Xenopus tropicalis: one gene and its partner. The protein of the gene in region 1 interacts with the protein of each later gene in a biochemical or structural test. Links are inferred from orthologs where the notes say so. Each region holds a gene or a part of one and is shown on either strand. Other genes may lie near its edges. The genes, in order: sik2 and crtc2.

Region 1 (16,210 bases):
TCAAAGGCAGCCTTGGTTGTAGGGCAATGTCCAACCTGAGGAACTGAAGTTAAAATTTGGGGAGAATTCATAGGAAACTTTGGGCTACTTCAGAAAACAAAGGGCCCCGTAGCCTTCCCACTGGCGATTCACTTATTGGTATTGGGAAGGCATTTCAGGGAGATTAGTTGCCCTAAATAGCCGAGATTTAACCGCAGGCAACTAATATCCCCATTTGCCATTGCCTAAGGAAAAAAGGTATGTTTTTCTCAAGATATGAGGTTGCAAATTTCAGTATAAACAGCTAGTCAGTTATTTAGCACAGAAAACTTTTTCTGAGAGTACTCAAGAATTCTTACATAATCCAACATTTGAAACCCTCTTATCTGGGCACACAGGGTAGATTTTACCCATAAAATGTACACTTGTGTGATTAATGTATATTAAAAATTACATATACCCTGTAGGTTGTGTTAATCATTATTCAATGATAGGTTTGCTTTTGTAACTATTTGTTACCTGAAGTTCCTAAACCTGACTGTTTTGCCAACCTGACTGTCCCTTCTTAACATGTCAGTTACAGCTTCTAAAGCTAATGGACTACTGCTGCAAAAATTCCCCCTCATAGAGGAACATGGAGGATCATATAGGTAATGTGAAAGCACTGGGCAAATACTTTTATGGCTAAATTATAAAAAGCATGCAAAGACAATGTTGTGATAGAAGTAAAATAAGGTTGCATTTCAAGTGTCAGTATTTCTTGAAGGCCCAAGGGTATGACATTTGGTCAAAATGCTTATTTGAAGTCTAATCTGAAGAACTGCCAGGGAGAGATTTCATCTACTTTTCTGTCTTGCTAAATGTGACAATGAAATGGGTCATAGGGGTGGAGGGGTTGGGCTGAAATTACAGGTGTCAGAATCCACCCCCATCCAACAAGACAAGAAAGACAGGATGTATTCTGTAGACTTTCCCAGGGGATATCAACTTTCTATTACCACTGTTAGCAGGTGATTTAATGGTGCTGTTATGTGTATCAATACTAGTGATAGTTTCCTCTTTAAGCTTTTGTTTTTTGCACCACTGGTGCAGGCAAATCAGTGGCAGGCAGCACAGGCAGTGAAGCTAGTGGACAAAAGTCTGCATGTTTATGTTATCAGCAAAAGCTGGAAGCTCCATGGTTTTTATTAGTAATTAGCTAATTTAAGGGATAGGTGCCAGATGATCAGTGACCACAGTGAACATAGTTTGGTGACTATTAGCACTGGCTGTCATAGTTAAAATAGTCTAATAACTCCAGAAAGGTTAGCTTTCTGAGCAGTCAGATCTCCTGTAAGATTGTATAAACAACCTTTGAGCGATGCACTCAAAGACTTTTTGACCAAGGGTTAGCCTTCGACTTTGGCTTTAGGGTTTAGGGTTTTTTCTTTAGTTTACCAGCCTTTTTTAAAACTGTGGCACACATGACTATTACAGAACTGTGGGGTAAAAATGCCTTTAATTGTCTGTTACCATTTCCCAAAGAACAGTATTGGAAATAATCTGCCAAAGGCACACACTGGTGGTGACAACTGGTACTTCTCAGATAGGTCACAAGTTAGAAGCCTGTGAAAAAAGGGAGATTAAGTGGTTTAGGCAAGTTTGCACATTTACTTTAATTTTTTAAGATTGCCTTTGCAGAGACATGACATGCTCACAGAATTGACACATTAAACAGACCATTCTGAGAGTGACTGTGCAAGACAGGCATTAAGTACAGGGCATTACGCCCTTATTACAAGTGCTCATTGGAGCACTTTTGTGCCCTTTAGGGCTCAAGCCTTTGAGGTTGGTAATTAAGACAAAAATTGAGTATAAGCTAATGGAATATGAAATCTATGCATATTTATTTAACTCATTTAGCACCAGAATAGTGAGGGGACAATAAGGCACCTAACAAGCAAAGGACAACATTTGATTCTCAAGTTTCTTTACAGCTTACATATAATAAGACTCACAAAGAGGTTTTCAGAATGCATTATGGAGTTCTTGGATGCAAATGTGATTAAAATGAAAAAGGGTTGTATATGGACCTTTCTCCAGACCAACTGAGTAACAAACTATTAAAAGTTACAATCCTGTTAAAAGTTTCAATCCTTTATCCGAAAAAAATCTGTTCTATATAATCAAATAGTAAATGGTCAAGACAATTGTATGCAAGCAATACAGAAGATTTCATTTTTTTCATATTGCATCTCAATATGTTGAATGTGGGTATGGTTCAAGTTACTCTCAGAGAAGAAAGAGAAGATCTTGTACAGAAAACTATAGAGTGCCCATTTAGACCTTTTTTTACTACAAGTGAATCCTATCAGGTTGTATTAGTAATTTCCCTTGCAAATCAGTGAGCTGTCAACCCCCGTAAGACTTGAAAACTACATTAAGTTTGTTTTTGACTATTTTTTATGCAATATTTTTGCAAATATCCTTCAAAGTTTGAAAAGTAAAGCAATTAAACACAGACATAGCTATACTGCACAAATGCTTTGAGTACATCAGAACAGCCAAATTAGTTACTGAATTTGCAGTACCAGGGTTATATTGGTGTTATGAATATAAATAAAGTGCAGGCACTCCTTATCTTAAATTAAGGATTATTAATATTTGCATTTCCACTTCTCACATCTTCTCACAAGCATAAAGATAGATATAGATAGATAGATAGATGATAGATAGATAGATAGATAGATAGATAGTTAGATAGATGATAGATAGATAGATAGATAGATAGATAGATAGATAGATAGATAGATAGATGATAGATAGATAGATGATAGATAGATGATAGATAGATAGATAGATAGATAGATAGATAGATAGATAGATAGATAGATAGATAGATAGATAGATTAGATAGATAGACAGATAGATAGATAGATGGTAGATAGATAGATAGATAGATAGATGGTAGATAGGTGATAGCACAGTGTAAGGGGCAATAAGAGATCTTCTGTTGTAAAGATCACGGTGCACTTTAATAGTAAAAATATATGTCTTGCGCCTACTGTCCAGGTGTGTGTTATCAGTTTAATAACAAAATGTGGGGCACTCGTTTATAACATTATAAAAAAAATGCCAGTAAAGGCAATGGCACACAGGAAGATTCCCAGGGAATTACCCCTCCATTGACATTAATGGTGATTGTCTGATCTCAGATAGGTCAGGCATTTATCATTTGAAAATAAAGCGCTGAGAGCCTTGCCTTGGTCTAAGAAATCTTCCTCAGCACAAAAAAACAAAATGATCCTATTGATTTCTAAAGAAACAAGGAAAGGTTTTGGATAACATGTAAAGCGTAGTTAAGCTTTTAAATAAATTTTACTGTTACATGGACAGTGATATTCTGAGACTATTTGTTTGAGCATTTTTTTTGTGGTTTTTAAATGAACTTTTTGTTCAGTGGCTCTCCAGGTTGGAATACAGTAGCTATTTGGTAGCTAAGGTACAATTTACAACAACCAGAAAGTGATTTAAACAATTGATGAATTTGAGATGGACTGAAAGATAAGAAATCAAAATTAACAATAACAATAAAATTGTAACCTCACAGAGCAATAATTTTTTTCACTTCTGGGGTCGGTCAGTGACCTCATTTGAAAGTGGGATATGTGTAGTGGGATTGAAAGTGGAATATGGTTTCAAAAACCATAACAAACAAAAAATAAAGACTAAATGAAAAGTTTCTAAGAATAGAACAGTCTATAACAACTATAACTATAAATTAACTTAAAGGTGAACATACCTTTAAAGTCTCTTACATTGCCCTTGTTTTTCCATGAATATATGTGTGGATATATATTGTTTTAGTCCAGAGGGGGTATCTGTTAATACCTTTTTGAAGGTATTGAGAACCACTGTTATAACAGGTCCAAAATGGTTGTACACAGTAAAGAGTCGTTGAAATGGCAGAATAATATCCTATTTTAGTCTGCAAAGAGGAGCACCATGAATATGTTTCAAGTTTCATAGCCTCGGGAACTGACGTTTGCATTAGGGCTTATCTTTGCTGGGACTAAATAACACATTAGTACCTTTTAAAGTATCAGTGAACCTTTTCACTCTGTGATTTTAGTTATTCTAGTTCATGGGTTTGCACTCAGTAGATTGAGCTTTTATTTGTCATCATAACCAAAGTAAACTTTGCAAAAACTTTGCTGGCAACCTTTTTGTTTGCACCTTAGCCTTTAAGGGCCTCCTACACTCTGATGTGACTGTGGATGGCCCTGTCTGATTTAATGAACACAAATTGGTGTATTCACCAGACAGAAGAGGTAAGTACCTTGTTCCCCCACAACTACCACCACCATTGCATAGGCAATAGGTTAAACATCCTGTGTGCCATTGCCCTTAAGGAACATAAACCATCTTATATCTAGTATAAATAAATTTTTTGTTAAATACTTTTTGACACATTTTGATAGGTGTTTCACCTTTTTAGTTATTTGTTATTAATTTTAATGTATGCTGAATTTGTTTAATTATGCTGAATTTGGGGCCACTTTGTGAACCCTGTGTGATGTATTCATAAAGGTTATATATAGTATGTGCTTGCTGCAGGGCTTTAATGGTGGCCCTGGAATATGTATAAAATTAACACCTTTAGGGTATAAAAAGGAAGTGACATGTTCACACCACACTTCCTCTGATGAAGCACCTAATGGTGCGAAACGCGTTAGGAAGGAGAGTGGGTACCATGAGGCACTGGGTTTTCCTTTCCACTGTGGTATAGTATGGCTTATGTTTTTTTGAATTTGTGTTAAATCTTCTGAGCCAATAAATGTCTGTTTTTTTTCACTAAAAAACTTTTGCGTTGATTTCAATTATTTAATATTCAGGACCTTTTGGTGAAATTAACTTAAGTTTTTCTGCTCAATTTATTTTTTTCTTAATTATAAATAAATTTAAAGCAACTGGACTTGTTTGGTAATCATTGAAGACGTTTCACTACTCATCTGAGCAGCTTCTTCAGTTGAACTGAAGAAGCTGCTCGGATGAGTAGTGAAACGTCTTCAATGATTACCAAACAAGTCCAGTTGCTTTAAATTTATTTATACTAGATATACCATGACCTGGATGAATGAAAATCTTCATAGACATAAACCATCTTAAAAACTGACTTTCAATGTCCCCTAGTTCTCCATAGCTAGCATTCCAAATAAATTATAGATGCAAAGGAATTGTCCAATAAGAATAAGAAATCAACTTTTATAGTATATTTTACCTCCCAAATCACCTTTTTCCAGATATTCTTATTTTCTTTTTCCAGGTTAGACTTCATAAATGCAGACACAGTGCTGTTTAGGTTATTAGAGCTACAAAAGAAAAATGATGATTTTGTTTGAGACCAGAAAGATAAAGTCAAGTGTAAAAAGAGCAGACAGGGTTCTCTTTTGAGGATCGTCTTGTTTTAACAGGGCTGCTGGCTGTTTAAAATTTGTTTATACATTTTTCCTTTAAGAATCCTTAAGTGTGGTGGCTGGACTATCATGATATTTGACAGTATTCTGATGAATGCTGGGAGTTGTAGTCCAGAAAAATTAGGTATAAGAACACCATTATTGAAGGTTTATGACCCCTTTCACTTCTATTCAGTTCTATCAGTTGTCCTCATAAAATTAATAATATATGGAATGTGTACCTAGCCTTTTGTAAGCTCCACTTGGGCAGAATATCTCTCTATGCAATCTGTAACATATTGGTTCTATATAAATAAAGGATAATCTCCTATCATAATGGAAATATATTTGTCATTGTCATTTTTGGAACTGACACAAAGTATCACGGATAAGATAATGACAACTGTATCTTAATATTAAGATAATTTGTATCAATATGACAACATTATTCAACTGTTAAAAGAATACGGAACTTGATTTATGTAACGTGAAATGTTTATTTTCTTGCTATAAAACAATAAAAAACTATAGGAAAAAATTAATAAATAAATAAAGGATAATAACAATAGCCTGATTATCAGTTCTGCAATTCATTCTGCACTCACCCTCTTTAAAGAGAATGTACAAAGTTCAAAAACCCTAGAAATACAAGCATTATGCACTCACAAATATATAAAGCTGAGGTTCCAAGTGACCTGGATATGATCTACAAAGAGTTTGTCTACCTGTGACTGTGTGGGTTTTATCCAGGATCTTTAGTTTCCTCCCAATCAGCTAAAACATAGAGCCAAGTTAATTGGCTAGTGGTCCTAGTGTGTGTGCTGAGTAAATGTGATATGCTCCATCAGTCCCTGCTCCATTTGGGCAGGGTCTGATGTGAATGATGCATAATATGTAAAAGCTGTGGAACATGTTGCTGCTATAACAATAAAAACTGATTATAGAAATATGCAAAATTAACTAACATACAATCACATATATTGCTACATTATCATGTATTCCTTAACCAAAAGAACACTTATTTAACGTAGACGTCTTCTAGCCTGTTGTAATCTGGCTTAATACCGTGTCTGCTGTTTCTTGATCTGATTCTTATAATGAGCTTCTCCTGTCTAAACGTGACCTCTCTGTTCCAGCGTCAGATTAAGACTATATTGGGCTGTACTCAACACACGAGTCTTCCAGACACCATGCCCTAGATTGAAATCAGTACACTTTGGCATTTCAAGTATACAGAAACCTAAACACACCCCATAGGCAGAATATAAAATCTATTCTAGCTATTGGCAGAATATCCAGATTTACTGTCCATTCCTGTTTTACACCTTTAAAATCCAACAGGGCAATGCTATGCCCACATATTTTTTTGTTTTTGCAGTCTTTGAAAAGCAGTATACAGCAGCTTTATATCAGAAAATGCCTTTATTGGACTTGGCCCGACCTCAGATAAAGGGGGCAGTCTTGCACAAGTGCCCCACCATGTCTTCATTTAGCAGAAAGCACAATTAAAAGATCATTTGCCCTTCACTTGAATTTATACACTGTCTTTTAAGTTCTATTTTAATTTAACGTTTCTATAAACGTTTAATTGAAATAATTAACTAAATTGATTTTTCTGTACACTCTTGTGTATCTACATATTTGTTTTGTATGAATGACAGCTCCCATATTTAGCCAAAACATGAAAATGGAAATATTCTTGCTTACATATACTATTAGTGACCTGGACTAAGCAGATCACATACATTACATTGTCCTTGTTTATTAAGAAACAAAAGTTATTTCTTTAAGTAATCAGGAATTCTGCAAAAAATGACTCAATTTTTGCCTCAGGTAAACATCTTTTAATTCAAGAGTACATCGCTACTCACTCTGCCTCCTGGGTGCTAAATACTGCAGCTTCTGTAGAAAAGAGCTATGGATCCATCCCAGGTTGTGTGTAAAATTGCAGGTCACCCCTTTATAGAGAAAGGAAACCTTTGTCACCCTACTATTGTAATGCCACTGGGTCCATCTCCCTCTTACAGTAATATGCACCTGAAACCAAACTTACACACTTCATTGAAATACATAGAGTCATCACCAGTCCTCTGATATAATCAGAAGCAGAGGAGCAGGAAGCATTGAATGGCCGATGGGTGAGACAGGGACAGTCAATATGCCCCTGGATCAATTTGGATTTGGGCTGGCATCTCGGTTATTAAGCTTTATTTTCACGTTGATCTTATTCTTTTCTATGGAATTAATAAGACTACTTGCCTTATAGAAAACAATGAAACCACTTCCAGGCTGTATGCAGTGGCTACTTATTTTCTTGCTCAATTTACAGCCCTGTGTGTACAAATAGCTGTATATAAATATAAAATGTGCTTACATAAATCACCACATAAGACACCAGTTTATGTGTGTTGGTATAAGAGCCAATAGTTATTTTGGGCATGAGCAGCAGTTTTTCAAGAGACAGCGGCGTATGTAGAAGTTACTGCGCTCTTTATAAAAAATCATTTTACAGTTTAACTAAATATTCAGGGGCCTATAGTGTTAACATTCCCAATAGCTTTAAACCCTACACTTCCTTATTTCACTATTACTGGGCGGAAGCCCATGTATCTATCTTGCTATAAGGATGTTTTGTATCTTTGGCCCATGAGACTTATGATTACTTGCTGCACACTGTAACATAGTGTTCAGCAGGAGGTGAGAACTTCTTATTTGGCCTGCATCTGTTGAAACAGGTACATGATCAACAAGGCCTCAGTAAAGCCATCTATCTCTAGAGAAGTCGGGGAGCAGGGACCCTGTGAACGAGGATTTAGTAAGTGCAGGATATATTCTCCTTTACAGTCTCCACTGCCTAATTGAAGGGGCCACAGTTATAACAAGGGTATCAGGCATAGCCTTCTCCCTCATATATGTCTGCTGTTTGGGATCTGGTCCATTAAGGTAAGAAACTTTAAGGAAAAAGATGCCCTACAGTGGTGCATCTTTACATTGCTTGCTCTGCATTTAACGTGCCAATCTGTTGCCCTGCATCTGCATTGTGAGTATTACTGCATTAACCTGTGGACCATTTGTCTTGGACAAATAAACTGAGTTCTGTTTGAGTTTGCTGCAAGAACCATCTGGTACCCTTTATTTCTTTATTTTTGCACACAGCATAAGTGAATTGTAGTTGCACAACTACATGTCCCCCTTGGTCCTTTCACATAACAAAGGCCCATCCTGTGTGTTAGTCAAGTGTACCCCATGCTCCATAGCCCATCTAGCTGGTCTTTGTTTTGCAGCCAAAAAGGGGTTGCAATTATAAGATAGTTTCATAAAATGTTCATTAGTCAGTGACCCACTAGGCACACAAGCGGTAGCAGAGTACCTATTCCCCTCAGCTGACAGCCCGGTTCGACAAGCCTCTAATCTCCACACCAGCCCTGGCACAGAGAGATAGAACAGCAGCCCTAAGAGAGCACAGCTAGGGCCAGGGTAATGTTGCCTGTCATGCCCCACAGATGCCGGTGGTGGCGCTGTCTCTCCAGGAGCACCGTGCCCAGGGAACACCATAAGAACAAAGTTACTGTGCGAGCTACTTATTATTATAATAATTAATTAAGACCAGTAACATGTGCATGCGTTAATAAAGAGTGCTGTGTAAATGCGGATGTATGCAGCCCCCCTGCTTCCAATTGTTCGCATGTTTCTCGTAGCTCTGATCAGGAACTCCCTGAGCCCCGGTGCAGCAGCAGGCCCGGGGCTGCCATCCTGCCTCTAAGCTATAGCTGCTATGTGCGAACAGGCAGCGCCTCAGCCACACACACATGTATACTCTCCCTGTGCTAGCCTTGACTGACAGCTTCAGCAGAGGGCTGCTGACGTCAGAGCTGGCTCCGGTTGTCAAGGGCAACCTATTTGGCAAGCGAGCTGTGAAAAAAAGACAGGGAATAAAGGGCCCGCCCAGGAGGCCTCCTGCTGCTCTGACGTCAATGGACGTTAACTGTGAGAACATGATGCCTTGTGCATAGAGCGGTACATTGGCTTCCTGCTGCACAGCTGCCTCCACTCCCTGTGTCTGGTCGCACGCGTGCTACAGCGACTAACAATACCTCTGTGCAAGTGAATGGGAGCTGCACAATGCTCGTTACTTTGCAACACTTTAGCCGTAAATCTGCCTGCAACGACTTGATGAGCTGACTTTATCGGACCTGTGAAAACTCAGCCCGATTGGTTGCGTTTTGTTTGCATGTTAATGTCAGACGTTCCCACCTTGCATGGATGTGTGAGAGCTCATTCGGGTATAACCGTGCTGAACACATGGCAGGAGCTGGACAATGCAAGCAGTAACGCGTTCCATTTGGGAATTCTTCGCCACCATCAACTTTACAGAAAAGTCTTGCGATTGTATGTAATGTGCGGGCGCTAGAAGCTGAATGTAGTTTGCGTTGGGTTGCACTTGCCTATAAGGAATGGCTAAGGTGAGCCCCCTGTGAGCGCCTGTAGGATCTGCCTGCGATTCCTTTCACTGCGACTTGTTGGGGGGTGTGAGCACTAATCGTGCCGGTTGATGTCTGTTTCCCGTTGGAGCTTCCTGGCCCGGCTCCCAGCATGGTCATGGCGGACTGTCAGAAGCCTGTACAGAGGGGTCCTGTCCGGGTCGGATTTTATGACATAGAACGCACTTTAGGGAAAGGGAATTTCGCGGTGGTGAAGCTGGCGAGGCACCGGATCACCAAAACCGAGGCAAGTACTGGCCAAATGTCTGGCTAATAACTTGTGTGAGCTTCACTGCATCCCTCTGCTGTTCTTGCACTACAACTCTTGGCGCAAAACTGCAGCGTGTTTTAGCGCAATAACAGCTGGGAAGCCGCTTCTTTTACATTTCAACTATTTCCATTTTCTATTATGCCAATAAGGGCATTTTCTGCCTATTGCCTTATCCCTGCAAAGTGCTGGGCACCCAAATGTGACAGTGCTGTGTTCTGGTAGGGAGTGTTGCTGCTGAGGACTTGCTGGGCACCAACTTACAGCATTACCTTTCCTTAGCAAGTGATAATGCTGGACATGTAATTATGGCATTGGTGTTACCTGGTAGGTGCTGGGCAGTGGCACCTATTTATGGCATTGTTTTACAATTGTGAGAGTGTTTGCAGTGCACCCATACTCCTTTACACTAGTGAGGTCTTATGTTAGACATCCAGACATGCCTTTGCATTACCTTTGTAAGTACCATTACTGGGCTTTTAAATATGGCATTGCTTTATCCTGGTAAAGGCTTTTGCTGGGTTCTCCTATATGGCATTTTTCCCTTTAATGGTTAAGCTTGTGGTGTCTAAGTATGGCATAGTTTACAGGGTAAGGTTATTGCTCTAACTTGGTAAGTGTTATTTTTGGGGATCCAAGTGTGCCATTGCTTTAGCCTGGTAAGGTCTGCTGGTGGCCACCTAAACGTGACATTTCTTTTCCCATTAACAACTGGTGTCAACTATGACACTGCCAAGTAAGGGTAAAGATAATAAATAGTAAAAATAAAAACATCTTGCCAACTGCAATAATAAAATTTTTATTTTTTATTGATGCCACATTATATAACTATAATTTCTTATTAATCCAGAGTCTTTAAAATCACAGTACAGACCTGCTTTGTGTGGCACCATGGAGACAATAAACATATTAATTGGCATAGAAATACTTTAGCAAACAAAGTTTGGGTACAAACAGCTTTTATTTTGCTAAATCTCATTACATTGCTTACTGTTTCGTGGCCCAAAGACAGCAAAGTCAAACATAAAGTACCAGCATCTTCTGTCTGGGAATACTAGGGGTTTGGGTTCAACAACCGCTAAGGTTTGCCAAACATGCTGTTGCTTTTCTCACTTACAGCCAGAGTTACAGGTGACTGGCAAAACCTACTCGGCCAAGTATCTTATGAACTGCACTAGTAACCAATTTGTTCCCTAGAATCCAAGAACACCGGTTCATGTTTACCTGCTGATTTATGAGCCACCTAGCAGGTTTAGCCCCTCACTTAATACCGCAGGTAAAGCTGTGCATTAATCCATAGTACCAATCAATTTTTCCTGCTTTTTCCAACTGCATCGCACTGATTAAAGGTATATCTCTGGCTGCTATTGGTTACTGCAGCATTTCAGTGAAGCATCTCTCTTAGAGAATGGGTTCATGGTTTGTTTGTTTGCCCAGTGTGTAGTTTTTATGATAAGTCATCTGAACAGAACATGAATTCTGCATTTTAGTTATGTTGCCATAAAATGCCTTGTAGTCACAATCTCAGGTATAGAAACCAACTCCAGTCACACTACCAAGATTGAGTGACACTCTATCTAAAAGGTGTACACTGTGGGTTTTTTACCTGTTTCTGGGTCATGTAGTTCAGCCGATCAAACTGATACAGCTAAGAAATTGATGTCATCTGATGGCCATTTATATTTTCCTGAGACCTGTAGTCTCTTAGTATCACTTACACCAAGGCAGATTAAATGTCACCCCTTGCATCTTGTCATCGGACCTCTGTATCCTGTGGCAATGAGATGCTCTTACAGTTAGAGAGCTGGCAAGGGCTGAATGAGTATTCACACAACATTATTTTTCTTCTATCTGTGATGCATTACTGTATTCTATACATAATACTTTTACTAAACGTTTAAACATGTCCTTGTGTCAAGAACTAGTTAAATTGTTATTAAAGGGGATATAAATCAGTGAATAAAAGTTTGCCAGATTTGAGAGATGGTAATCCTAAGCAATTTTCAACATGTATATGTGAATTGCCTATTTATAATAATTATAAAGTTATTTTGTAAATATATATGCTATGAATAATAGTATCTGTTTGGCCCTTTGTTATTAGGACTTTTGAAACAAGGTAGCTGAAGCCTGCAAGCCATGCAAGGCTGACTTCTGTTACCTTGTTTGAAATGACAAAACGAGCAGTGCAGAAATGGAAAGACAAGTGCTGCTTTCAGTTGCAAATTACTTTAGAACTAGTGAAAAATTTTATGAAATGTATATTGGAAGGTTCCTTAGAATTAGATTCTTTTATTAGAAATACTTTTTTTGGACTGTGGGGGAGATATTTTTATGTTTAAATTTTAACATTCTGCCTTATTGTGGCAAAAACAGATTCATTTGTAATTTTAATTTAGTGTGCTTTTGTATGTAAAAATAATATAAGCATTGTATTGGGGCCTATATAGAGTTAGCACAGTTCTAAGAGGCATTTTTTAGTCTCCAGTTACAACTATACCTCCATACATCTCTGCACATTTCTGCCTCAACTTATTCCTCATGCAGGTGAATATCTTGCGAGCCAGGTTTGCTGCCAACAATATCTGTTTAGTTTAGATATCAGTGATCATTTTTGTTTGTGACTTGCAGTAGCAAGCAGTATTGAAAGCTGCCCTTTATGTACTCTTTGCTTCCTGTTGATATAAGATCGAGGGCTTCGTCGGGTCCTGAGACAAGTACATTTTGTTGCTAAACTTTGCATATTGTGTAAGTTTGTTTGACCCTGAATTCAGGTCACGGAACACTGTTCAGTTTTTCAGTTCATTTTTTTTAATTGTTGCACTATTGAAGCTTTTTGTGCTCTGTTATACACTATCTTGCAACACAAAATGCACAACACTTCTAATCAGCCTTTCCACCTAAATTTGCTAATTTTTGTGACCTATAGAAATGATTGTTGGCAATGAATACATTCTTAAAGTTACATTTACTTATTTACATGTTTATATTTAATGATCACATAACAATTAATGCTTTGGTAAGCCAACAATTAAGTACAGAGTATCTAACAATATGTAATAGCTACATTTTTTTCTAACTTCATGTTGGCATATTTAATACAGTAGAATTTTTAACAAAGAAGTCGTTCTGTGTTAAAAATGTAAACCTTAAATAAAAATATGATCTTTTGGCAGTTAGTGTGTGCAGTTTAATAAAGTCTGCACTGACAGTTGTACTTAAAGGCCATCACATGCTGCCCCTGGGATGCAGGGAATTCTACCCAATTCTGTCCCTTTCAGTTTTGTTGTATCACTTACCATCTATCTGATATAAGGTATTAATGTCCAAATGTAGGCACAACTCCCAGCACCTTTCAGGCAGCTACTGTATGTAGTTGTAAAATACCCTGCAGATGTGTGATTACTTCTTAGCAGTTTGTAAATAATTAAAAATGTAAATTCCCCTCTCCATGCTCAACTAACACAAGAGTAGTCTGTTGCTTTGATCTAATGTAAAACAGCCTACCTATCAGCATGACACATTGGTACACTTACCAGACAGTGCAGAATCACTTGGAGATAATATTTATGGGCAGGCTCTATTGCCTTGAGTTTAGATCAGATCCTGTGAAGTCCAAGACCTAACATGCAGTAACAGTTTTATGTTAAAGGGGAACTCCAGCTTCCAAAGAAAAATTTGTTAAAGAGCTCTACACAACACAGAAACCCTTAATAAACCTATTACTGTAATCTGTTCCTTCAAAAAATATGAATAAATGCCATCTTTATATGTTAAAAGCCAGCTGCAAAACATGTTACAAATTGTATCCGTTTCTTCACAATTTACAAATAGACAAAAGGAATTCTGGGAATGAATTACAAACGCCTAAAAAAAAAAAAAAAAAAAAATCCCATTTACATGGGTTCATCCTATAGGCTATAGGATAAACCCATGTAAATGGGATTTTTTTTTAGGAGTTTGGAATTCATTCCCAGAATTCCTTTTGTTTATTTGTATCTGTATGAGGCAGTCTCCTCAACTATAATGTTCTTACAGACAGCATGCAGGAACTACAATGCAATGCTCTGTGATGTTCCTTTCCTTATTGACATCACGTGAGCAGGGGATTGTGGGGTTTAGAGGTTGCAGGCTAAGGACAGTGGAATACTATTACATTTTTAGTAGTCAGCCAGATCAGCAGGAGAACAGGGGGCCAAGCTTAGGTAACTGTTCCAAACCATATTATTACATTAAAAATCATGAAAACACTGCATATTTTTTAACTGATTGCATATTGCAAAGTTGCTTGAAATTAAGCTTTTTTTTTTTTTTTTTACAAAAAGGTAAGTTGTGTTTGGGTGGAGTTTCACTTTAAAATAAAGAGGCACAATTCAACAAACAGTCATATACACATCTATTATTTTTCATGGTCTAGCAACCAAACATTTTTTGTCGGGTAAATACTTTTCATAATGTATAAAGCTTACGGCTGTATTTACATAGACCTTTCTGATAAAGCTTACTTAGTTTTTACCTTTCTTTCTCCTTAAAGTTATTTTTAAAGGCCTCCCTACATGAGCTGAAATGGTAAGTTAAAAAAAAGCTGATAATAGTGCATTGGCAATGGAAATTTTCAAAACTGCTTATTCCCAGAACTGACCAATATCCATGGTGCATGGATATCAGTAGGGATCAGCAGGCCACCATACACAAACCAAAAATCTTCCAAAACTTTATTTATATGATATTATTGGTACGTGCATGCCCAGCTTTAATTGTAACTGCTATTTAAAGCAGTACCAGTCTATCCTTTTTATATTCTCCAGTTTGGTGGTTCTGACTCTTGAAGCAATGTATTGCATGTTGACGGATTTAATAGACCTGTGAAGATGCGTTCAAGACTTAATTAATTTCTTCCTTAAGTCATATTATCACCAAAAGGTTTAGTTAATGTTCCAGTGATTATAATTTCCAATAAACCAGTTATCACACCACTGTTTAGTTAATCTGGTCCTGTATCTCAAATGTAGAAAAAAAATACTGTTGTAGTATGTTGAGTATCTAGCACAAAGTTTGCATAAAGGTTAAAGTCGAAACAAATCATAATGATAGTCCAAGTGCTTCTTTCCTTCTGTCACTGTGAGTTCCCATTAAATCCCTTGTAAATGAAAACTCTTTCACGCAGGTGCTCAAATCTCTTTAGCTTGCTCACACACAGGAACACATACTGAATAATTAGACCTGTGTGGAAAATTCTCTGTTTGGTAAAACAAGCATGCTAATATAAATGGCAGAGTGTCTGATATGTTTTTTTATTTTTCATAAAGAAAATGTCAGTTGACTCCCCTCCCTCCTATTATTATGACTTGGATTTAGATTTAAGCCATCTTTAACCATCATATCAGCAAGATCAAGGGCTTTAACTAAATGGCAAGTCATATCATCCTGGTTCTGGTTTACTTCCTGATTAAGTCCAGATTGCCCATGAATTCACTGGTTAATATGTGTTAAAGCTTGCCCTTCAAGGCAAACAACTGAATTGTTTTGACTGTACGCATTTCACAACTAGCTTGCAAATAAGTCACACTCCTATTTAATGCTCCGTGGCATCAGCATGTCAAACTTTCTACTGTTTGCAACCCTACAGCCTTTAAACTAGTAAATCAATTAATATCTGCAGACAACCTCTAAGTAAGGGTGAGGACACACAGAGCTACTAGTAGCAGCTACTTTTTCACGGCTACTAAACTCTAGAAAATACCCTGCCATAGGCCACACTGAGAATTGCCTCTGCTAAAACACACACACAAACAATTATCAGTTTATGATCTGCATTGTCTATTTTAGTAGCCACAACAAGTAGCTGCTACTATTACTTCTAGTAGCAGCTACTTTTTCATGGCTACTAAACTCCAGAAAATTCCTTGCCATAGACAATGAGAATTGCCTCTGCTAAAACACATGTAGAGACTGTTATCAGTAAATGATCAGCATTGTCTATTTTAGTAGCCACGACAAGTAGCTGCTACTAGTAGCTCTGTGTGTCTTCACCGTAATAGAACATA
Region 2 (16,242 bases), on another chromosome or scaffold:
CCTCCTGTTTCCTCATACAGCCCCTGTATTACCCCTACCTACCCCTCCTGTCTTCTCATACTGCCCCTGTATTACCCCTACCTACCCCTCCTGTTTCCTCATACAGCCCCTGTATTACCCCTACCTACCCCTCCTGTCTTCTCATACTGCCCCTGTATTACCTCTACCTACAACTCTGCAACCTTGTCACATTGCTGCGTATTATCCCTTCTACCTTTCTATATTAATGAATTCCCCCCCCTCTGTATATTCTCCTACTGCCCCTGTCCCCTCAGTAGGAGCATGCCCATTTGCCCCCCCTGCCTCACAGCGGTATTGTTCCCTCCTTACAGGCCGGGGTAACAGAAGAGAAGGACATGGAGGCAGTTTGGAGCCCAGGGCTGGATTCTGCCCCCCTGTCAGTCGTTACCATGGAGCTGAAGTTGGGGTCCCTGGTTACCCTGCTGCTTCTCACCATTATCAGTGGCCTTGCCCCTCTCTCTCTATTCAGGCGCCAGGGGAGCACAGTTACCTCCGGTGAGGCTTTTAGTGGGGCAGTAATAACGGGGTTAAACCTATATTCATAGATATCAAGCAAGTGACCCCTGTATTTAACCCCTTACTCCCCGTTGCTGTCGCAGGTCCCCAGCGGAGGTCGCTGAGTCTCATCAGCTGCTTCTCGGGAGGCGTCTTCCTTTCTACTTGTCTTCTGGATCTGATGCCCAGTTACCTGTCCTCTATTGCTGGTGCCCTGAAAGGGTTAAACATCACAGTGAGTACCTGGGGGCCACGGCATCTATACAGTTAATCTGTAGCCTTTTAGTATGGCTAATGGTTAAATCCCCCACAGGCATGCCTGGGGATTGCCCCACCTACAGGGCAGATATTTATAAACATGGGGTGTACGTGTCCTTTAAAGGAACAGTAACACCAAAAAATGAAAGAGCTTTAAAGTAATAAAAATAGAATGCACTGTTGCCCTGCACTGGTAAAACTAGTGTGTTTGCTACAGTAACACTACTATAATTTATATAATAAGCTGCTGTGTAGCCCCGGGGGCAGCCATTCAAGCTGGAAAAAAGGAGAAAAGGCACAGGTTACATAGCAGATAACTGATAAGTTCTGTAGAATACAATAGTGTTTTATCTGTTATCTGCTATGTGCCTGTGCCTTTTCTCCTTTGAATGGCTGCCTCCATGGCTACATAGCAGCTTATTTATATAAATTATAGTAGGGTTTCTGAAGTAAACAACTTTTACCAGTGCAGGGCAGCAGTACTTTATATTTTAGTTACTTTTCTACACTTTCATTTTTTGGTGTTACTGTTCCTTTAATGGGGTTGTTCGCCATTCTGAGACAATTTGCAATTGGTCCTTATTTTTCATTTGAATTCTTAAGCTTTTTGTTCAGCAGCTCTCTACTTAGGAATTTCAGCAGCTATCTGGTTGCTAGGGTTCAATTTAACCTAGCAACCAGGGAGTGGTTTGAATGAGAGACGGGTATATGAATAGGGGAGGGGCTGAATAGAAAGATAAGGAATAAAAAGTAACAATAACAATAAAACTGGAGCCTCACAGAGCAATAGGGTTTGGCTGCCGGGGTCAGTGACCCCCATTTGAAAGCGGCAAATAGGCAGAAGAAGAAGACAAATAATTAAAAAACTGTAATATATATATATATATATATATATATATATATATATATATATATATATATATAAATAATGAAGACCAATTGCAAAGTTGCTAGGAATAGGGCATTCTATAATGCACCAAAAGTTACTTTTAAAGGTGAACCCCCCCTTTAAAGTCATGTGACATAAGCATGGAATTTTTCTATTTAACCCTTCCTTAAACTAATTTGCATATGCAAATTTCCTTTATTCAGCTGAATCTTTCACAAAGGATTCTGGGATCGGCGGAATCCCAAAACAGTAATTTCAGCGCATCCCTATTTTTATTAAACAAAAAGCTGCCATATTGCCGGGGGCGTGCAGACTTTTTGTGTATGTGTATATAAGTTCCCCTTTAATTCTCCCGCGTAACGGTCACTGTCTCTGCTCCCAGTTGCAGTTCCCCCTGCAAGAGTTCATCTTGGCCATGGGATTCTTCCTGGTGCTGGTAATGGAGCAGGTTGCCATGGGTTACAAGGATCAGGCCGGCGGCTCGGAGGAGACGGGCGCCCTGCTGGGATCGGCCAGCCTGTTACACAGCGGGGTGGGGGCGCCCCACGTACACGTGGATGTGAACGCTCACTCGGCGGTGAGAATGATGGCGCTGGTACTGGCCCTGGCGCTGCACTCCGCCCTGGAGGGCGTGGCCTTGGGGTACCAGGGGGCACGTGGGCGAGTGATGAAGACCTGCCTGGCTCTGCTCGTCCATAAGAGCCTCATTGCATTCAGCCTCACCCTCAAACTGGGGCAGGGGCGCCTCCACGTCCGGGCCATGCTGGCGTGCCTCCTGTTCTACTCCCTAATGTGCCCGCTGGGCATGGGCCTGGGCATGGCGTGGGCTGGCAGCACCGACCCAGTGCAACAGTTAACCCGTAGTGTGCTGGAGGGACTGGCCACTGGGGCATTTATGTACATTACCTTCCTGGAGATCCTGCCCCACGAGCTGAGCGCCGGTTACCCCCAGATCGACAGGGTCATCGTGTTGCTCTGCGGCTTCTCCGCCATCGCCGCCGTCCTCTTCATCAAGATCTGATTAACCCTTTCCTCGGCTGCCCGTCGCTTCCCAAGCACAAACGGGACCAATGAGAGGGAAGCGTGTGTGCCGCGGATACAGTCGCGCTTGCCCTTTATGTTTCTATTATGCAGAAAAATATTTTGTAATATTTATATACACGGGGATCTATTTTTTATTATTATTATTATACCAGTTTTATACCCACGTGTTTACTAACCAGCTGTAACGTACACAGCCTTTATTAAAATGGCTTCTTTTTAACCTGCTGTGTGTTTGACTCTTCTAAAAGGGGATGTTCACCTTTGCGTTAACGTTTAGTATGACGTAAAGGGTGATATTAGGAAAATTTGCAATTGGTCTTCATTTTTTTTTAAATTTTATCTCAATTTTTGTTTAGCAGCTCAGCAGTTTGGAGTTTTTAGCATCTATATGGTTGCTAGGGTCCAAATTACCTTAGTAACCAGGAAGCTGTTTGAACGAGAGGCTGGAATATGAATAGGGGAGGGGCTGAATAGAAAGATAAGGAATAAAAAGTAACAATAACAATAAAACTGGAGCCTCACAGAGCAATAGGGTTTGGCTGCCGGGGTCAGATATACTGTTGCTAGGGCTCAAGTAACCTTAGTAACCAGGGAGTGGGTTGAATGAGAGGCTGATATATGAATAGGGGAGGGGCTGAATAGAAAGATTAGGAATAAAAAGTAACAATAACAAAACTGGAGCCTCAGAGCAATAGGGTTTGGCTGCCGGGGTCAGATATACTGTTGCTAGGGCTCAAATTTTCTTAGCAACCAGGGAGTGGTTGGAATGAGAGACTGGTATATGAATAGGGGAGGGGCTGAATAGAAAGATAAGGAATAAAAAGTAACAGTAACAATAAAACTGGAGCCTCACAGAGCAATAGGGTTTGGCTGCCGGGGTCAGTGACCCCCATTTGAAAGCTGCAAAGAGTTGAAAAAGGAAGGCAAATGGATTTGGCTGAATCCCGGATTTGGTGCAACCCTATGATAAATAATGAAGACCAATTGAAAAGCTGTTTATGGCAATTCTATAACATGCTAAAAATGAACGTAAAGGTGAACTTCCCCTTTATTCAAGGAGTAAAATATGAATATAGGTAATATAATATTAGAAATAGGATTCGGTTTCGGCCAAATTGAATCCAAATCCTAATTAGCATAAATGTGCATATGCTAATTAGCATTCAGAAGGCTTAAATGTTAGTGGGGGGGGGATTTTTATTTTTTAACCCTTACTGATCGGTTCAGTATTCAGCCAAAGCCATCAGGGTGGGTTTTTTGGGTTCGGTGCACCCCTAATAAGAAATATGAATTAGAAGCTCAACTTGACCCGCAGGTACTCACTTTTCTTGGGGTAACCGACCCCCTGCAGGACTCCCGGGTCATACAGTTGCCAACACAAATGCAGTCTGATCCCCAAATCATTTCAAATACAGACTGTTCTATTGGTTTGGTTTTTCCCCAAGCTGGGGAGGCCTTTCTAGGGTTAAAGGGGTGGTTTCCGTTAACATTTAGTATGTTACAGAATGCCCTATTCCTAGCAACTCTGCAATTGGTCTTAATTAAAAAAAAAAAACTATAAATAATGATTTCCCATTCAAATGGGGGTCACTGACCCCGGCAGCCAAACCCTATTGCTCTGTGAGGCTCCAGTTTTATTGTTATTGTTACTTTTTATTCCTTATCTTTCTATTCAGCCCCTCCCCTATTCATATACCAGCCTCTCATTCAAACAGCTCCCTGGTTGCTAAGGTAATTTGAGCCCTAGCAACAGTATATCTGACCCCGGCAGCCAAACCCTATTGCTCTGTGAGGCTCCAGTTTTATTGTTATTGTTACTTTTTATTCCTTATCTTTCTATTCAGCCCCTCCCCTATTCATATACCCGCCTCTCTTTCAAACAGCTCCCTGGTTGCTAAGGTAATTTGAGCCCTAGTAACAGTATATCTGACCCCGGCAGCCAAAACCTATTGCTCTGTGAGGCTCCAGTTTTATTGTTATTGTTACTTTTTATTCCTTATCTTTCTATTTACTCCCTCCTCTATTCACATCCCTGTTCCTTTTTCAAACCACTGCCTGGTTGCTTAGTTAAATTGGACCCTAGCAACTAGATGATTCTGAATGGAGGTCACTGACCCCGGCAGCCAAAAACGATTGCTTTGCGCGGCTCCAGTTTTATTGTTATTGTTACTTTTTTTTTACTTATCTTTTTATTCAGCCCCTCCCCTATTCATATCCCTGTTCCTTTTTCAAACCACTGCCTGGTTGCTAAGTTGAATTGGACCCTAGCAACCAGATGGATTCTGAATTTCCCAATTGAAGAGCTGCTGAACAAAATGCTAAATAAAAAAAAGACCAATTGCAAATTGTCTCAGAATAACCCTCCCTGCATCACACTAAATGTTAATTTTTAGGTGGGAAAATCCCTTTAGTATCATCTGTAGAAGTGACCCCGTTATGGGAGCTCCCTATAGAGCCTCTATGTCCCCTGTATAAACCTATTTATTGTAATATTAATACACGTTGTTAATATTAATAGTAATAATTACAGTGACCCCCTGGAAGTATAGGGACAGGATTCCTACACCCGTTTTCCTGTCACACAACAGTGTTTATCCCTCCCTCCAGACCCGCCCTTTATTTCCTTTCACACAAACGTAGCGAAGGCTCCGCCCCAAGCCGCAGGCCGCCACCACTTTATTCACACCCAAACTGGCGGGCCAGAAGGTAACAGCGTCGGTGCCGCATGGGAATTGTAGTTTTAACGTGATTCACTCGACGTCTATTTCAAGCGCTTGGAACTACGTTTCCCGACAAGCAGTGGGACGTCGTCTGCCCACGTAACGCGGAGCCCGACGGGAGATGTAGTTTCGCTTCGTGCCGTTGGGCTTTGAGTTTCTCGAGTTCAGCGGCGCGTTGGAACTACGTGTCCCGGCGTGCCTAGCGCTGTGTTTTTCCACCGGGGGTTTTCTCGGCGGCTGCGGAAGGGAGCGAAAGATGGCGGCTTCGGCGGGGGCCAACGGGCCGGGCTCGGCCTCGTCCTCCAACCCGCGCAAATTCAGCGAAAAGATCGCCCTGCAGCGCCAGAGACAAGCGGAGGAGACGGCGGCCTTCGAGGAGGTCATGATGGACATCGGCTCCACCCGGGTACCCGCGTTCTGCCACTTGTCTGCCATTGGCCAGTTATAGTGTTGCGTGGGAACTGGTGCAGCCCCTGGGGTGGTTTTATCCCAACTGTGAGCTCTATGGGGCAGTTATATTGCCTGACAGGAAGTGATACCCCCCCCAACCTGGGATCTGTCAGTGATACCCCCCCCCCAACCTGGGATCTGTCAGTGATACCCCCCCCCCAACCTGGGATCTGTCAGTGATACCCCCCCAAACCTGGGATCTGTCAGTGATACCCCCCCCCAACCTGGGATCTGTCAGTGATACCCCCCCCCAACCTGGGATCTGTCAGTGATACCCCCCCCAACCTGGGATCTGTCAGTGATACCCCCCCCCCCAACCTGGGATCTGTCAGTGATACCCCCCCCCCCAACCTGGGATCTGTCAGTGATACCCCCCCCCCCCAACCTGGGATCTGTCAGTGATACCCCCCCCAACCTGGGATCTGTCAGTGATACCCCCCCCCAACCTGGGATCTGTCAGTGATACCCCCCCCCAACCTGGGATCTGTCAGTGATACCCCCCCCCAACCTGGGATCTGTCAGTGATACCCCCCCCCCAACCTGGGATCTGTCAGTGATACCCCCCCCCAACCTGGGATCTGTCAGTGATACCCCCCCCCAACCTGGGATCTGTCAGTGATACCCCCCCCCAACCTGGGATCTGTCAGTGATACCCCCCCCAACCTGGGATCTGTCAGTGATACCCCCCCCAACCTGGGATCTGTCAGTGATACCCCCCCCAACCTGGGATCTGTCAGTGATACCCCCCCAACCTGGGATCTGTCAGTGATACCCCCCCCAACCTGGGATCTGTCAGTGATACCCCCCCCCAACCTGGGATCTGTCAGTGATACCCCCCCCCCAACCTGGGATCTGTCAGTGATACCCCCCAACCTGGGATCTGTCAGTGATACCCCCCCCCCAACCTGGGATCTGTCAGTTATACCCCCCCCCCCAACCTGGGATCTGTCAGTTATACCCCCCCCCTAACCTGGGATCTGTCAGTGATACCCCCCCAACCTGGGATCTGTCAGTGATACCCCCCCCAACCTGGGATCTGTCAGTGATACCCCCCCAACCTGGGATCTGTCAGTGATACCCCCCAACCTGGGATCTGTCAGTGATACCCCCCCAACCTGGGATCTGTCAGTGATACCCCCCCCCAACCTGGGATCTGTCAGTGATACCCCCCCAACCTGGCATCTGTCAGTGATACCCCCCCCAACCTGGCATCTGTCAGTGATACCCCCCCCAACCTGGGATCTGTCAGTTATACCCCCCCCCCAACCTGGGATCTGTCAGTTATACCCCCCCCCAACCTGGGATCTGTCAGTGATACCCCCCCCAACCTGGGATCTGTCAGTGATACCCCCCCCAACCTGGGATCTGTCAGTGATACCCCCCCCAACCTGGGATCTGTCAGTGATACCCCCCCCAACCTGTGATCTGTCATTTATACCCCCCCCCCAACTTGGGATCTGTCAGTGATACCCCCCCCAACCTGGGATCTGTCAGTGATACCCCCCCAACCTGGGATCTGTCAGTGATACCCCCCCAACCTGGGATCTGTCAGTTATACCCCCCCCCCCAACCTGGGATTTGTCAGTTATACCCCCCCAACCTGGGATCTGTCAGTGATACCCCCCCCAACCTGGGATCTGTCAGTGATACCCCCCCCAACCTGGGATCTGTCAGTGATACCCCCCCAACCTGGGATCTGTCAGTTATACCCCCCCCCCAACCTGGGATCTGTCAGTTATACCCCCCCAACCTGGGATCTGTCAGTGATACCCCCCCCAACCTGGGATCTGTCAGTGATACCCCCCCCAACCTGGGATCTGTCAGTGATACCCCCCCAACCTGGGATCTGTCAGTGATACCCCCCCAACCTGGGATCTGTCAGTGATACCCCCCCAACCTGGGATCTGTCAGTGATACCCCCCAACCTGGGATCTGTCAGTGATACCCCCCCAACCTGGGATCTGTCAGTTATACCCCCCCCCAACCTGGGATCTGTCAGTGATACCCCCCCCCCCAACCTGGGATCTGTCAGTGATACCCCCCCCCCAACCTGGGATCTGTCAGTGATACCCCCCTCAACCTGGCATCTGTCAGTTATACCCCCCTCAACCTGGCATCTGTCAGTTATACCCCCCCCAACCTGGCATCTGTCAGTTATACCCCCCCAACCTGGGATCTGTCAGTTATACCCCCCCCCAACCTGGGATCTGTCAGTGATACCCCCCCCAACCTGGGATCTGTCAGTTATACCCCCCCCCAACCTGAGATCTGTCAGTGACAGTGATACCCCCCCAACCTGGCATCTGTCAGTTATACCCCCCCCCAACCTGGGATCTGTCAGTGACAGTGATACCCCCCAACCTGGGATCTGTCAGTGACAGTTATACCCCCCCCCAACCTGGCATTTGTCAGTTATACCCCCCCCAACCTGGCATCTGTCAGTGATACCCCCCCAACCTGGGATCTGTCAGTGACAGTGATACCCCCCCCCAACCTGGGATCTGTCAGTGACAGTGATACCCCCCCAACCTGGGATCTGTCAGTGACAGTGATACCCCCCCAACCTGGGATCTGTCAGTGATACCCCCCCAACCTGGCAATTGTCAGTGATACCCCCCCAACCTGGGATCTGTCAGTGACAGTGGTACCCCCCCAACCTGGGATCTGTCAGTGGCAGTGGTACCCCCCCAACCTGGAATCTGTCAGTGGCAGTGGTACCCCCCCCAACCTGGGATCTGTCAGTGGCAGTGGTACCCCCCCAACCTGGGATCTGTCAGTGGCAGTGATACCCCCCCCAACCTGGGATCTGTCAGTGGCAGTGGTACCCCCCCAACCTGGGATCTGTCAGTGGCAGTGATACCCCCCCCCCCCAACCTGGGATCTGTCAGTGGCAGTGATACCCCCCCACACACACAGACAGGGAGACAGACAGACAGACAGTGCCCGTGCAGTACAGACTGTGCCATTAAGTTGCTGTGTGTGTGACAGTTACAGGTGCAGAAGCTCAGAATGGCGCATATGAGGGGCCCTTACTATGGGGGGTCACTCCCCAACGTCAACCAGATCGGCAGCGGCGGCAGCGCAGAGTTTCAGGTGATTATTTGTACCCGGGAGTGTTGGTTTTGTTGGTGTCACTGCTCTACCCCCCCATGTAACCCCCTCTGTTGTACTGCAGGGCCCCCCATGTAACCCCCTCTGTTGTACTGCAGGGCCCCCCATGTAACCCCCTCTGTTGTATTGCAGGGCCCCCCATGTAACCCCCTCTGTTGTACTGCAGGGCCCCCATGTAACCCCCTCTGTTGTATTGCAGGGCCCCCCATGTAACCCCCTCTGTTGTATTGCAGGGCCCCCCATGTAACCCCCTCTGTTGTATTGCAGGGCCCCCCATGTAACCCCCTCTGTTGTACTGCAGGGCCCCCATGTAACCCCCTCTGTTGTACTGCAGGGCCCCCCATGTAACCCCCTCTGTTGTATTGCAGGGCCCCCCATGTAACCCCCTCTGTTGTACTGCAGGGCCCCCCATGTAACCCCCTCTGTTGTATTGCAGGGCCCCCATGTAACCCCCTCTGTTGTATTGCTGGGCCCCCCATGTAACCCCCTCTGTTGTATTGCAGGGCCCCCATGTAACCCCCCTCTGTTGTATTGCAGGGCCCCCCATGTAACCCCCTCTGTTGTATTGCAGGGCCCCCCATGTAACCCCCTATGTTGTATTGCAGGGCCCCCCATGTAACCCCCCTCTGTTGTATTGCAGGGCCCCCCATGTAACCCCCTCTGTTGTATTGCAGGGCCCCCCATGTAACCCCCTCTGTTGTATTGCAGGGCCCCCCATGTAACCCCCTCTGTTGTACTGCAGGGCCCCCCATGTAACCCCCTCTGTTGTATTGCAGGGCCCCCATGTAACCCCCTCTGTTGTATTGCAGGGCCCCCCATGTAACCCCCTCTGTTGTATTGCAGGGCCCCCCATGTAACCCCCTCTGTTGTATTGCAGGGCCCCCCATGTAACCCCCTCTGTTGTATTGCAGTGCCCCCCACATTCCCCCCTGGAATCATCTCGCAGCACCCGCCACCATGGTCTCGTGGAGAGAGTTCAGCGAGACCCCCGCCGGATGATGTCGCCCCTGCGCCGATACATGCGCCAAATATCCTTTGCTTTGCACCAATACATAGCGCTCTATGGCGCCCCCTAGTGCTCTCAGTCTGCTGGTACATTGGGCATTACATATATAAATCCTCCAATTAGAATTCAGTTGTGGATACAGGCGGTACCAATAGGGAGGCAGCCCGGTGCTGTATCGGCCCAAACAGATGCACCTTAAGAACACGGAACCGGGTTTTATTTAGGAATTAGGAATATTACTGTGATGTTTTTGGATTTCACCTCCCAGTATAGAGATTATAGAGGTTTAAGTTACCCTTGGCGGGTGGAGGCTACAGTCAGTTGGTCCTAATTTAGGGGATCGTCCCCCCCAACGAGACCTGGGTTGTAGGTCAGAAAGCCATAAGTCTTTCCTCTTCCTGTAGTTGCATTGTGGGAACATGGCAGATGGGAAGTGTGTGCCACCCTGGGCACCTGTTGGGCATCACCCAGCTCTACTCACACAGGCATTGGCTGGATTGCTTTCCTTAACTTGCCCACTTGGACAGCTCTCCCTACAACGCCTCCTACCTCTCACCGCAACAGGAGCCCAGCTGGAGAAGGTAATGTGACTCTAATTCCCAGAAGCCTCTGCTGGTACCAGCCATAGGGCCCCTAGAGGTTTATTTGCCTCAGCTCTGTAACATAGGGCCCCTAGAGGTTTATTTGCCCCAGCTCTGTAACATAGGGCCCCTAGAGGTTTATTTGCCCCAGCTCTGTAACATAGGGCCCCTAGAGGTTTATTTGCCTCAGCTCTGTAACATAGGGCCCCTAGAGGTTTATTTGCCCCAGCTCTGTAACATAGGGCCCCTAGAGGTTTATTTGCCCCAGCTCTGTAACATAGGGCCCCTAAAGATTTATTTGCCCCAGCTCTGTAACATAGGGCCCCTAGAGGTTTATTTGCCTCAGCTCTGTAACATAGGGCCCCTAGAGGTTTATTAGCCTCAGCTCTGTAACATAGGGCCCCTAGAGCTTTATTTGCCCCAGCTCTGTAACATGGGGCCCCTAGAGGTTTATTTGCCCCAGCTCTGTAACATAGGGCCCCTAGAGGTTTATTTGCCCCAGCTCTGTAACATAGGGCCCCTAGAGGTTTATTTGCCTCAGCTCTGTAACATAGGGCCCCTAGAGGTTTATTTGCCTCAGCTCTGTAACATAGGGCCCCTAGAGGTTTATTTGCCCAGCTCTGTAACATAGGGCCCCTAGAGGTTTATTTGCCCAGCTCTGTAACATAGGGCCCCTAGAGGTTTATTTGCCTCAGCTCTGTAACATAGGGCCCCTAGAGGTTTATTTGCCCCTGCCCTGTAACATAGGGCCCCTAGAGGTTTATTTGCCCCTGCTCTGTAACATAGGGCCCCTAGAAGCTTTAATACAAAACAAGAGGGCAATTAGGGATATAGGATATTAAAGGGACACACCCCCAATTCTATGTGCCCACCCATGAAGAACCGTTGTGCCACCAAGGACCCAGTTGCCTTACATTTGCCCCCATTTGCCCCGTGGCTGGTATTTATAGCTGACTATTCAGGCTGTGAATGGGAAGGACAGCGGCTGAAGACTAAAGAGCATTACACAGTTTGGGGGGTTCCTGCTTTTGATTGGTTCTCTGGGATGCTAGGGGCGGGGCTTCCTCCTGTGCGCTGCCGGGGGGCTCCTCTCTGGCAGAAGGAGACACATAAGTTAATATATGTGGCTGGAGCACCTAACCACAGGCCTTGTGCCCCCCACCCATTATATACCCCCCCCCCCCCCCCCGTGGCTGCCCACCCCAGACCCTCGGGTCCCTGGATAACTCTGCTGTTTTTCATTACAAAGGAACATGCCCTGGGGAAACTACCCCTCGGACACAGGACAGCTCTTTAGGTTGCCGACCGCCCTAAACAGGTGAAGTTTCTTCTGCCGCTTCCCTCTTTTTGCCGCTTCTCTCTGCCGCTTTGCTGCGTACTGGGAGGAGCTAAGCAGCTGTGTGGCCCCCTCCGCCCCCCCTGTACCACGAGTGCCTTATTGCATAGGGGTGTGTGTGGCTATATGGGTGTGTGCCTGGGCTAGCAGTGGGTGCTTGTGCTGGGTACCATAAGCAACGTGTGGCCCCTTCTGGCTTCAGTGTTTATTTCCTGCTTTGTCCCGGTGGCTACTTGCTGGCCCCTCCCACTAGCCCTGACGTGTGTCCATGGCTTCTCCTCAGGACAAACTCGGACTCTGCTCTCCATACCAGCGTGATGAATCCCAGCTCACAGGATCCATACGGAGCCGCACAGGGCATGGCGCTGCCCAACAGGAGAACCGGTGGGTTGGTTTGTTCCGGTAGTCGCCTGTAGGGGGGGGATTATGGGGTCGGTAGTCAGTTAAAGGCTCATGCCATGTTTCCTTCCCGATCTGCCCCTCAGCGTTTCTCTTTCCGGCGCCGGCTATAGAGGAGGACCTCCACTCAGATAGCAGCCACCTGCTGAGTCCGTGTGATGCTAAAAGGGTAAGTCTGTGGCCCTGTTGGAATGTGTGTGCGGGTTCATGTGGGTGCAGAGAGTGGCCCTGGGTGCCTGCCGTCTCCTCTCATGGGGTAATGGGATGTGCATCTGTTTTGTGTGTACATAAATCATTGCTGCTCTGTTAATATTTTTTTGCCCCACAGATGCTCATGTCGTCTTCTCGGCCCAAATCCTGTGAAGTTCCAGGCATTAAGTAAGTGACAGCCCAGGCCCACACCTTACGAGCAGTAGTACCATAAGGGTTATTTTGCAGGAAAAAGTAGGGGAACCTAGAACCATATTATGCTGTACACTGCACAGTAGGGGTTCCTAGAACCATATTATGTTGTACACTGAGCAGTAGGATTACCTAGAACCATATTATATTGTACACTGGGCAGTAGGGGTTGTTGTTGTACACTGGGCAGTAGGGGTATCTAGAACCGTATTATGTTGTGCACTGGGCAGTAGGGGTATTTAGAACTGTATTATGTTGTACACTGGGCAGTAGGGGTATCTAGAACTGTATTATGTTGTACACTGGGCAGTAGGGGTATCTAGAACCGTATTATGTTGTACACTGGGCAGTAGGGGTACCTAGAACGGTATTATGTTGTACACTGGGCAGTAGGGGTACCCAGAACCTTATTATGTTGTACACTGGGCAGTAGGGGTATCTAGAACCGTATTATGTTGTACACTGGGCAGTAGGGGTATCTAGAACGGTATTATGTTGTACACTGGGCAGTAGGGGTACCCAGAACCGTATTATGTTGTACACTGGGCAGTAGGGGTATCTAGAACCGTATTATGTTGTACACTGGGCAGTAGGGGTACCCAGAACCGCATTATGTTGTACACTGGGCAGTAGGGGTACCTAGAACCATATTATGTTGTACACTGGGCAGTAGGGGTACCTAGAACCATATTATGTTGTACACTTGGCAGTAGGTGTTGTTGTTGTACACTGGGCAGTAGGGGTACCTAGAACTGTATTATGTTGTATACTGGGCAGTAGGGGTACCTAGAACCGTATTAGGTTGTACACTGGGCAGTAGGGGTACCTAGAACTGTATTATGTTGTATATTGGGCAGTAGGGGTACCTAGAACCGTATTAGATTGTACACTGGGCAGTAGGGGTACCTAGGACTGTATTATGTTGTACATTGGGCAGTAAGGTTACCTAGAACCATATTATACTGTACACTGGGCAGTAGGGGCACCTAGAACCATTTGTGATTGTTCTCTTTGTCATTGCAGCATTTGCCCATCAGTGGACGAGCCCACAAGTATCCCTCCAGTGCCCTCTGTCCTTAATTCTGGGGGCTCACTGCCGGACCTGACTAATTTGCACCTGCCTTCCCCTCTCCCCACCCCCCTGGATCTGGACGAGTCAGGATTCAGTAGCCTCAGCGGGGGCAGCAGCACTGGCAATCTGGCCAACACCATGACCCATTTGGGCATCAGCAGGATGGGGCTGGCCCCAGAGTATGAGATTCCAGGTACCACCCAGATAGATACTCGCCCATTCTGCCTTCCCATAATCCCCTGGGCTGGGCTTTAATTTCTCTCTCTCTCTGTGCAGGTTACTCCCCATCGTCAGTGCAGAACTCGCTGAGTCGGTCGTCCCTTCAGTCATCACTGAGCAACCCGAACCTTCAGGCCTCCCTTAGCAACCCCTCCCTGCAGGCCTCCCTTAGCAACCCCTCCCTGCAGACCTCCTATAGCAATCCCTCCCTGCAGTCCTCTCTGAGCAGCCAATCCCTGACCTCTTCCCTCAGCAACAGCAGCCAGAGCCTTCCCTCGGCCTACAGCACCCCATCCTCGCCATCCTCCTCATTCCCTCCCCCGGTGCCCACCCCCATGAACACGTCCCCGCGCCGGAGAGTCCCACTGAGCCCTCTCACTCTCCCTCTGGGGGGGGACTCTAGAAGGGCCCACCAGAAGCAGTTCTCCCCTACTATGTCTCCTACACTGAGTTCCATTACCCAGGTAGGTGTGTGTGTGAGTGGGCGGGGTCACGTGCCCCCCTGTTCCGTGCCCCACCTCTGATCCTGTCCCTTTGTTTCTCAGGGAGTCCCCTTGGATACAAGCAAATTTCCTGGTGACCAGAGGCTGCCCCCATACCACTTTAGCCATGCCAGTCTACTTCACCCGTCTCAGCAGCCTCAACAGCCCCTGCATCAATCCCAGCAGCCTTTGCACCAGCAACTTCAGCCGCCGTCCCAGCAGCCTTTGCACCAGCAACTCCAGCAGCCTTTGCACCAGCAACTTCAGCCGCCGTCCCAGCAGCCTTTGCACCAGCAACTTCAGCCGCCGTCCCAGCAGCCTTTGCACCAGCAACTTCAGCCGCTGTCCCAGCAGCCTTTGCACCAGCAACTCCAGCCACCGTCCCAGCAGCCTTTGCACCGTTCCCAGCAGCCATCACATCAGGCTCAGCAGTCGTCCCAGCAGCCACTATTGCACCAGTCCCAGCAGCCTTTGCACCAATCCCCACACAATCTGCAGAATTCTGTGCACCAGTCCCAGCAGCCTCTGCCCCATTCCCAGTCGTCTGTCAACCAGTCCCAGCCAGCAGCCACCCCGTCCCCGCAATCTCAGCGCCAGTCCCAGGCACCCATGAATCCGTCTCAGCAACAGTCTGTGAAGCAGTCCCAGCAGATGTCTAACCAGTCCTCTCACCACAGTCAGCAGCCTCTGCAGCAGTATTCCCAGAAGCCTTTGCAACAAGCCCCCCCAGGTTCCCAGCAATTTCATTCTGCATCTCAGCACTTTCCTGCCCCGTGCCAGCAGAATTCAGGGGGCCAGCCGTACCAGCAGCTGTTTGAGCATTACAGCCTGGGCAGTGTGAGTATTCCCGGCAGCGCTCTCATCACTGGGTGTCTTTCTCTCTCTCTCTCTCATTGTGTGCTGCCCCATTGCACTTCTAGCTGGATCTTGTATCCTGTATGTTGCTAAGCGGGAAGGGATGCTGTATGTTGCTAAGCGGGAAGGGATGCTGTATGTTGCTAAGCGGGAAGGTGTATGTTGCTAAGCGGGAAGGGATGCTGTATGTTGCTAAGCGGGAAGGGATGCTGTATGTTGCTAAGCGGGAAGGGATGCTGTATGTTGCTAAGCGGGAAGGGACGCTGTATGTTGCTAAGCGGGAAGGTGTATGTTGCTAAGCGGGAAGGGATGCTGTATGTTGCTAAGCGGGAAGGGATGCTGTATGTTGCTAAGCGGGAAGGGATGCTGTCGGTTGCTATGGGGGAAGGGACGCTGTATGTTGCTAAGCGGGAAGGGACGCTGTATGTTGCTAAGCGGGAAGGGATGCAGTATGTTGCTATGGGGGAAGGGACGCTGTATGTTGCTAAGCGGGAAGGGACGCTGTATGTTGCTATGGGGGAAGGGACGCTGTATGTTGCTATGGGGGAAGGGACACTGTATGTTGCTAAGCGGGAAGGGATGCTGTATGTTGCTATGGGGGAAGGGATGCTGTATGTTGCTATGGGGGAAGGGATGCTGTATGTTGCTATGGGGGAAGGGATGCTGTATATTGCTAAGCAGGAAGGGATGCTGTATGTTGCTAAGCAGGAAGGGATGCTGTATGTTGCTAAGCGGGAAGGGATGCTGTGTGTTGCTAAGCGGGAAGGGATGCTGTGTGTTGCTAAGTGGGAAGGGATGCTGTGTGTTGCTAAGCGGGAAGGGATGCTGTATGTTGCTAAGCGGGAAGGGATGCTGTGTGTTGCTAAGCGGGAAGGGATGCTGTATGTTGCTAAGCGGGAAGG

What was found.
Region 2: of the proteins of sik2 (region 1) and crtc2, one has a biochemical effect on the other in vitro, tested with the Homo sapiens proteins (2 studies listed by BioGRID). The link is inferred for Xenopus tropicalis from reciprocal best matches to the Homo sapiens genes SIK2 and CRTC2.

Annotation. Positions count from the first base shown.
Region 1 is NC_030683.2:84,182,557-84,198,766, forward strand, and holds the start of sik2 (serine/threonine-protein kinase SIK2), read left to right. Parts: upstream 1-8,938; 5' UTR 8,939-10,007; coding exon 10,008-10,142; intron 10,143-16,210. UniProt on the Homo sapiens protein: Serine/threonine-protein kinase that plays a role in many biological processes such as fatty acid oxidation, autophagy, immune response or glucose metabolism.
Region 2 is NC_030684.2:144,414,028-144,430,269, reverse strand, and holds the start of crtc2 (CREB-regulated transcription coactivator 2), read left to right. Parts: upstream 1-5,344; 5' UTR 5,345-5,683; coding exon 5,684-5,833; intron 5,834-8,865; coding exon 8,866-8,970; intron 8,971-9,899; coding exon 9,900-10,016; intron 10,017-10,513; coding exon 10,514-10,575; intron 10,576-11,824; coding exon 11,825-11,893; intron 11,894-12,194; coding exon 12,195-12,295; intron 12,296-12,396; coding exon 12,397-12,479; intron 12,480-12,638; coding exon 12,639-12,688; intron 12,689-13,735; coding exon 13,736-13,977; intron 13,978-14,060; coding exon 14,061-14,467; intron 14,468-14,548; coding exon 14,549-15,322; intron 15,323-16,242. Other genes in the region: slc39a1 (zinc transporter ZIP1), read left to right, coding at 333-516, 621-751, 2,046-2,684. UniProt on the Homo sapiens protein: Transcriptional coactivator for CREB1 which activates transcription through both consensus and variant cAMP response element (CRE) sites.